Linked DNA regions of Danio rerio. The protein of the gene in region 1 interacts with the protein of each later gene in a biochemical or structural test. Links are inferred from orthologs where the notes say so. Each region holds a gene or a part of one and is shown on either strand. Other genes may lie near its edges. The genes, in order: setd1a and wdr82.

The links.
Region 2: the proteins of setd1a (region 1) and wdr82 form a complex in vitro, tested with the Homo sapiens proteins (2 studies listed by BioGRID). The link is inferred for Danio rerio from reciprocal best matches to the Homo sapiens genes SETD1A and WDR82.

Annotation. Positions count from the first base shown.
Region 1 is NC_133178.1:31,526,840-31,531,323, forward strand, and holds the start of setd1a (histone-lysine N-methyltransferase SETD1A), read left to right. Parts: upstream 1-1,381; 5' UTR 1,382-1,677; intron 1,678-2,349; 5' UTR 2,350-2,356; coding exon 2,357-2,494; intron 2,495-2,576; coding exon 2,577-2,675; intron 2,676-2,767; coding exon 2,768-3,038; intron 3,039-4,484. UniProt on the Homo sapiens protein: Histone methyltransferase that catalyzes methyl group transfer from S-adenosyl-L-methionine to the epsilon-amino group of 'Lys-4' of histone H3 (H3K4) via a non-processive mechanism.
Region 2 is NC_133181.1:44,007,803-44,012,249, forward strand, and holds the start of wdr82 (WD repeat-containing protein 82), read left to right. Parts: upstream 1-1,430; 5' UTR 1,431-1,618; coding exon 1,619-1,779; exon of another isoform or gene 1,780-1,956; intron 1,957-2,743; coding exon 2,744-2,841; intron 2,842-3,135; exon of another isoform or gene 3,136-3,218; intron 3,219-3,324; coding exon 3,325-3,391; intron 3,392-3,482; coding exon 3,483-3,582; intron 3,583-3,656; coding exon 3,657-3,773; intron 3,774-3,851; coding exon 3,852-4,007; intron 4,008-4,447. UniProt on the Homo sapiens protein: Regulatory component of the SET1/COMPASS complex implicated in the tethering of this complex to transcriptional start sites of active genes.

The DNA.
Region 1 (4,484 bases):
CAAAATGTTTTTACTGAAGTAAATTATTTTAAAACACACTTAATTTTAGGTAGTTGCCAAGGTAACATTCAAAGTTTAGTTTAACTTTAGTTTACAGATGTTCTAAAATAGCTCAATTTAAAACTTGTAGATCAAATGAATGACAACTGTATATAGACAAAAAATTGAAAGACAACTAAATTTCTAAAACTTTAAACTGGAATTAAAATGAAAGCTGAATTGTAAGGCTGCTTATCTTGCTTAACAGTGCATCATATGTGAGAAAAAACAGGCTATGAATTAACATCCAAAATAAAGTACCATTAATCAGTCCTATAATATTGATGGTGATGCAAGCAACAACCGATTTTGTGGTGAAAGATGCATAAGAAACCAATGAGAAACAACATGTTTGAAGGATTCTGACCTCTCCAATATCCAACTTGTACACATGGAGTCTTTCTGGATGATGCTTGACTGGCATGAAACAAAATCTGTTTCCTTCATGTATCCGGAGGAGTCAACAAATACTCAGGTAACACAAAAATATAGAACCTATCTACAATATTAACTACTTTGTCTCGCATAATAATAGTGCGAAATACACTTCAATAACAAGAAATACCAGGAATTAAAATGTTGTTCAGTAAATGTTTTAGATTGTAGCAGCACCACCTACTGTTCAATAAAATGTAATGTGTCAACTAGCGAATAGCTTAAGAATAGAATAAAACGTATAAAAAATAAACAAACATTTACTCAAAATGTACTTTGTCCACGAACATGTGTCCTTTTTATGTAATATTTTATCTCCCTATCTATGCTACTATAGCATATGTGTTTATAAATATGTGAAAATGTGTTTATAAATATGTGCTACATTTTAACGAATTATTAAATATATTTAGCTATTTTGCTTTCAAATTCTCCATTCTAGTGGCTATTATGATATTTTGTGTTTCTGCACATAACTCCGAGTCTGCATATAATTTACTGTCATCTCCTTCTACTAAGTTTGTTGTTACTACTATTTACTAATTAAATATCGCTAATAATTTATTGTGCATGTGTTAAACAACCGCGAGGTATTGCTATTTTAATATAAAAAAATACTCTTTAAGCATACGCATATATCACATTCATAGCGTTATGAGGTAAAATGAAACATAGCAGCAGATTCGCCATAAAGCAATCTCGCTTGCAATGGTCAAATAATTTTGATGTCAAAAGACAGAAGCCAAGGAGAGAATATAACTCAATGTTAACATATATTACAATTTAGCTTTAAAAATATAACAAAGCACAATCTTTTTGAACACTTTAAGAACATTTATAGTAAATGCACAAGGTTCTGCATTCTGTGGAAAGTGCGTGTGCCATTACAACGGCTGATATTTCTAGTGACTGATGGCGAGCAGGCGAGGCACTCAGGTTAGTTACGCGATGGCTGCTTACTGTATTATGTTATTCTTTTTAACACACTTCATTTTCTGGCGGAATATAGTCACTTATTCCGCATCGATATTGCACCGGAATACAAGCGACCCCGTTTTAGTGCAGATTTAAGGCGCCTGTGTCAAAACGGAGCTAGATTTTAAAGTCCGGATTGTCTGTTTTCCCCGTCCGACACAGGCCTAGCTGTAGCGAGCTAGCGGCAGGCGAAGCGGGCAAACCTCCTCCAGACCCGCGCTCCGTTCTGTGAGTCTCTCGCCTCACCGAGTAGGAATATTTGTTTTTAGTATCGGAAATTGGTGTATATTCGTTTGCTAGAAGTTATTGGCACTTGAGCTGTACTCTGCTGTCACATCATTTTGAAGTTGAACTTTAGCTAGCTCCGCGCAGTGTGAGCGGCTAGCAGCTCCAGTGTTTATTATGTTAGCTTGTTGTTGTTGCTAGTCGATATGTCAGATGCCGTATATTAGGCCATACCTTTAGTGTATTTCTGTTTATTACGTTGTAATAGACAACCGCAAGTCGTGCTGTTTAATTTCCACGCACTATGCTGTTAATAGGACATTTTAATGTGAATAAGGCATCTCTGTCAGGCTCAGATGTAGTGGGGTTAGATCACCCTGTCAGTTTGACAAAAAATATTAGTCAGTATCTTACCCCACCCTTCATAAAGAGTCTGTTTGTGTTTTGTAAATGTATATAAGGGGACAGCATTTTATGTGTAATTTGTTTGGTATTCCAAATGGAGTTTTTCAGGATTAAAATGTGTGCTGCTCTTCTGCATGTGCACACTGTCAGTGTGGTTGTCTGCTTGTATTAATGACCCATAAGTTCAAATACAAAGCTTTTCTCATTACGACTTCAATATGAGTCGCCGAGCATCTGCACAACACCTCATTCTCCTCTCTGTGTCTGCAGTGATAGCATGGATCCGGACAGTGGGGCGGACACTCAGCGAACTCTCAGTCTGCAATGGAAAAGCTATAAGCTAGTACAAGACCCTGCCCTCCGGCGGGTTACTCAGAAAATCTACAGATATGATGGGATTCACTTTAGTGTTCCGGTATGGACCTGCACCAAATCAACTCATGATTCAGCCTATAATGCTGTACATTATGTGAAGTCTACATTCTGCTTGATTTTAGGATTCAGGATTTCCGCCTGTGGGGGACTTGCGTGATCCGAGACCCCGCAGAATCTGGTCAAGACACACAGAGCTGTCGCTGCCAGTGCCCAAATTTAAGGTATTCCTTTCTTTGTTTCTTTTGCCATGTCTCTTAGGATCTATGTTTCTGTGGGATTTTTGTGTTAAAATGCTTTTTCTTTTTTCTCACAGTTGGACGAGTATTACGTAGGCCCTATTCCGCTTAAGGAAGTGACGTTCGCAAGACTGAATGATAACATAAAGGAGCCGTTCCTGGCAGAAATGTGCGCCAAGTTTGGTGAGGTTGAGGAAATGGAGATTTTGTTTCATCCTAAGACACGGAAGCACTTGGGCTTGGCCCGCGTCCTCTTCACCAACACTAGAGGGGCCAAAGACACAGTCAAACACCTGCACAACACTTCTGTCATGGGAAACATTGTCCATGTCCAGCTGGATATCAAAGGTGGGCTTGCCTTTTCAGAGGACTTTCTGTGGTTATTAAGGGTGCTTTCACAACTGTAGATTGATTCTTTTGTTCCGAAACAGGGATTAAAACTATTACAGGGTTGCACTTTGTTAATGGTGCGGTTCGCTTTCACATGGCAAAGTTTCTAAACGGACCAAAATAGCTAAAACAAGTAATGCGTGAGTAAACTCTCCTCCCTTGGGTCAGTTTCATGGTTTATTTTGCAGAGTCCCGCTCAGCTGTCATGTGTCATTATTTTAATTTATGGTAGGGAGCAATAAGACATTATAAGTGACAAGCTGCACTTTAATTTTGAGCGGTGACACCCACAGACATCGTCACCAAATATAAATCAGAGGGGTAAGTCAATTTTCCTAACGGATAAATCGCTCTTGGTAATGCTTTCACTTTCGTATTTGATATGAAACGCTCATTTACTGGTAGGAATGACATCCCGTCCTACTCATAATTCTCTCTTCATATAGCTGTATATATACCTATTACATGTTCATAATACGCTTTGATATGGCCTGATACTTTGGTGCGTTGGATCGTTTTGCTTTTCTCACTACAATCTGTACGCTGCAGAGTTTGTTTAAATCGAGCTGAGACCACCTCATTAAGGTGATCTCGGACCAATGGTTTTGTTGTGGATCCGAGCATGATTGCTGGTTTCACATATGCCAAACGAACCGCGCTAACTGGGGAAATATGCCATGTTCCTTAACTAAAGTCTAAGTGTAAAAGCACCCTCAATTTCTTTAGTGCTCCATGAATGCAATTCAAATAGATTGGAGCCAGTGTGTGAGTGTGCTTTTAATATTTTAACACTTATTTTGCTAGGATGCAAAAAATTGGTCAAGCATGACTGTATATGCACAGTGTTGCAACAGATTTCTGTTAATTCAGTTGTTTTGAACTTTCTGTTAATTATACAATTACGATATTTTTTCCGGATACTATAATTATGGAAAGTTCAAAATACTAATTTAATGAACAGAAATCTTTTCTGTCATGCAGAACTGTTTCTTGAGCACCAAGTCAGCATTTTAAAATGATTTCTTAGTGGTCTGCCTTCAAAGTTTGAGCGATCTTAAGATTAAAATGTCTATAATTTTATATCTTGTTATGTTGACCTGATCAGGTTTCAGTTGGTTTTTAACAAAATAGTAGAATATGTCAGAAGCTCTCTGGGCATGAGCATTATCATTGCTTAAAGTATTGTTGCTTAATATGAATTGTCATCTGCATCTCTATTAGCACAACAAATTAGGGCTGGGCGATATGGCGAAAAAGCAATCTCGATTATTATTTTTCTTACTGAACCATAACGAGATACTTTCAGGTTTAAAAGAGTAACTGAAGCCACAAAAGTTAGAGGGTCCATTAAATAGCATAACATATTTTTGGCCATAAAATGTTTGCTAGCTGAAAATTCAGTAC
Region 2 (4,447 bases), on another chromosome or scaffold:
ATAAATGTTTTTTAGTTTTTACATGTTTATTAGACATTTTAGTAGTGTTAAGTGCAAATATTTTAAACAGTGACCAAAAATAAAAATGACATCTCAATAAATGAATGTGCTTGTAATTTCAGGATAGTCACAGATTTATGTGTGTATATTCAGAAAGTCAAAAATAAAAATCTGTGCTAAAGTATAAAACATTTTGTTCAATAAACCAAAGAAAACAGTACCCTTTCTAAAATAATAAGCATCCAAGCAACAGGTTTCACATCTTTGTTTCAATCCATAGTTCACAAGTTTTTTGTTGTGTGTTTTTGAGCTTTAATCATCAACAATCCACCTTTCCCTAGAAACGATGTAACTGACATTGGATCCACATCAGCTGGAAATTGGTACTTCTGTCGAATGACGTCCAAAACTGTGCCATCTGATGCCAACTGATTCATAAGTCAGGGGAAAATTTGAAAAAGACAAACCAAAAGGAGTAAATACAATATATTTTTGTTTAATGTGTTTAAGCTTTAAAATTTTTCAAAATGTTTAGGTTTATTTTGCTTACCTTTTCTGCAAAGACTTGTATTGCATTATTGGTTGAGGTTACTATAACTTCTTCCGGTGCAAACTCGCTTACATTCACTGTTAATACGTAAATATCTCCAACAGTGCAAATTTCACCCTTTGAAAAAAAAAAATCAAGCTTATGGTTAATTTATAATAATCATACAGCATTAACAAATTGTTTGCAGAGGTGTTCAAACTAGACTTTAAACAACACTCACCTTTGAAACACCTGCCATTGTAGATTTGTTAGAAAGCATAGGACAATTAATTAATCCTGTTCTTTTTCTAAACAAAAAGACTTTAATGGTTCATAAACGTTTGATGCTGGTTTTCTCTGTGTTTTTGTTTAGAACAATGCAGTACTTGCTTTTATACCCCTGGTTGTGTTTGGGGTTCTGGGTGAGGCTAGAATTGATGTCTATGTGCAGAATGTGTCATATGAGAAAGAAGAGGTAATTTTGTAGTGTGATATTAATATCCTCTTTGAAATTAACTGTAAAAACACTCAAAAATTGTAAAGGAAACTGAATGTAATAATGATTAACTGCAAATGTGGTTTCATAATTACTAAAAATTAAGGGTAAGCCTTGCTAGAAATGAAAAACAGTATATGGAGAACTCATGTGAAATTCTGCATCCTCGTTACAGCTGTCATTTCAGTACTAAATTACTAGAATAACCTCGTTGTTTTTCGTGTACGTAATGGAAGGTTAATATACAGAGCGTATAATAAATCACCCTAACCAACAAAAACTTCCTTCCAACCTCAACGTCAGCCTAAATCGTAATGGGACTTTTATTCTGAAAACATTCGCAGGGGTGGTGGCCATTTTGTAAGTCACCTTGCTAGTTCTAGCTTCATCTCGTCTTTCGTAATCCAGTTCATTGACCAGTTCTGTCGGCGGGCTTTTTTAATGTGACAGAAATACACATCTGAAAACCATTTTCGGTCAACAAAATTTTCACGACACACTCGCAACGCACAAGACTGTTTAACCAGAACCCAAACTTGTCGCTGTTTTAACGAAACGATCCCGTCGCGCCTGGCCAGGCAAGAAAGGCCACAATGAAGCTCACAGACAGTGTGCTGAGGAGTTTCAGGGTTGCGAAGGTTTTCCGAGAGAACTCCGACAAAATAAACTGCTTTGACTTCAGTTCAAATGGAGAAACTGTAATATCGAGTAGCGACGATGACTCGATTGTCTTGTACGACTGCCAGGAAGGAAAGTAAGTCGCTTGTAGTTTATTCGATGTGGTTGTCCTGCAACTGACTGTTTCGTTTTAATTCAGCGTTTGTTGTGTTTTATGTAAGTTACTGAAATGGGATAAATACCTAGATCTATTGCTATAATGTTAATCGTGACAATTATTGCCTATTTATATCGAGTGTTGTGTTTTGAATGCGTTTGTGTGTACAGTTAGCGGTCTCTTATTTGTAATTCGGATCTTTCAAGTGAATCACTTGAACTGAATCACTGAGCTTCGTTCCGTTTTTTAGCTGTTTCCGTTCTTCATTTAGTATTATGTCTTAAAACTGCTGAAAATTATCTGCAACAAAATTTGAGATTTAAAAAAACTTTTTTGTTTTATTGCTTTGTTGTTATGTAACTTGATACATTTACTTGATATGCGTTTAATTTGCGAGAGAACTTGAACAGATTTTATTTTAAGGTGAAACATGACTTATTTATTTGGATTAAGTGTTTTTGTTTGACTTTTTTGAGTCTATTACCACTTTTTTGTTAATTTTTAAATACCAAATTCTCAAAACAAGACTGTTCGTTTGCTTCGTGAATGTGTATCGATGTGTGAACCTTTAACGTTAGATGTTTGTACTGGAAAGCAAGAAAAAAAATATGCTATAGTAAAACCTTTTGCAGCCATGTTCTTGTTTTGAGTCTAGTTGTTTATTTTAAATCATTATCTTATATTTTCTTTTCTAAAACCCTAACCATTCGTAACGTAGCGACATAAAAAAAATCGCCATATCTTGAACCGATTCTTTCAAATCAGCTCTTTGAAAAAACTGATTCTCTGAAATGAATCTAATGTACAGACGCGTGCTAACTGTTAGCATCCACGCCTCCTAAAATAATCGGCCGCCTCCTGACTGTAAAATCAAATTATGTTATGAATTTTTGCATGTTATTTATCTAATAAACCAGATTAACCTTTTCCCTCTTTAAATCAGACCCAAACGGACGCTTTACAGTAAGAAGTATGGTGTGGATCTCATCAGATACACCCATGCAGCCAACACAGTCGTCTACAGCTCTAACAAGATTGACGGTAGGACTCTTTACCAAACCTTAGTGTGATAACGTGCTGTTTTTCCCCCAGCAAATTCCATTATTTTAAGCTTTAGGGATGAAATGCTTATTCACTGAGCCCTTTTTAACTTGTTTTATTAAATTTCTCAATGTTATGAGTGTTATTTTTCACCTTACATTTTCATAATTATGTTTTCATAATAAGTGTATGCATCCGTTTCTATGTAATCTTGTACACATTAGTTAAATAACAGGTTTTTCCTAAGCTTTACTACTGGTATTTGTGTATGGCTGTTTATCCTTGCCTGTTCTGGGTTGAGGTAGTTGTTTGTACAGTTTTTAGGGTCTGTTATTCTGCCCTGTTAAGGAGCTAACTGTACAGACTACTGCCTTGCCCAGGGTTGAGCCCACTCATCTGACATGGTATACAGTACATGTTTATATTTTTTCTAATAAAATCTTGTTCTAGTTGTTATATTTTGACACATTTGTGCTGTCACAGATACTATACGATACCTGTCTCTACATGACAATAAGTACATTCGCTACTTTCCTGGACACAATAAAAGGTGAGGAATTGTGCCATTAAATTATCATCCTGTTTTTACAATTGAATATTGGTGTTATATGGCTTTTTGTGTGGGTTTTATGCTATTCTAGGGTTGTCGCCCTGTCTATGTCCCCTGTTGATGACACATTCATTTCTGGCTCCCTTGACAAAACCATTCGTCTGTGGGACCTTCGCTCGCCTAACTGTCAAGTAAGCTGTTTTTTAATTTGGGTATGTTTTTCTTGTTAGTGTGTACTTGATTCTAATCATGGTTGTGTTCACAGGGCCTCATGCACCTGCAAGGGAAACCTGTGTGCTCATTTGATCCCGAGGGGTTGATTTTTGCTGCAGGAGTGAATTCTGAGATGGTCAAACTTTATGATTTGCGCTCTTTTGATAAGGTAACTTTATACATTTGCATTCAAAGAACTGTACTGTTATATTGGATGTTTTAAAAGTAAAAAAAATTCTTGTCTCAGGGCCCATTTGCCACATTTAAACTGCAATATGAGCGGACGTGTGAGTGGACGGGTCTCAAGTTCAGCAATGATGGAAAGCTCATTCTGGTCTCCACCAATGGAGGAACACTCAGAGTGCTGGATGCTTTTAAAGGAGCTGTTCTCCACTCGTTTGGGGTAAAAAATACTTTTTTTTTTTTTTTTTTTTTTGTAAAAGCAGTCCTGTTAGTTTTTCATTTATCATTTATTATGGAGGTCTCGTACATTAAGTTTGCATTCACCTCAAGTTCAAAAGGAACATTTTCTTTCAGTGCATACAATGTGTTTTTGCCTTTGCTGCACAAAACACTTTCAGACCTCGGATATAACTACAGTTATTGAGGGTCAAATTAGATGTTTTTTTACAGACCATACCGGCCAATGAAGACCATAAACTGGCATACAAATTAGTTACAACCCTATGTAGTTGGGTTATGTAGGAAGTAAACCTGGAATTACTGATGACTTTTTTTCAGGCCGTTCAGAATCTTCCGTTTGGGAGATAATACCTTAATTTAATATACACTTTTTAAAGCCTGTTGAAGTGCTTTCAATTGTGCATTTTTATTCAGTGTCTA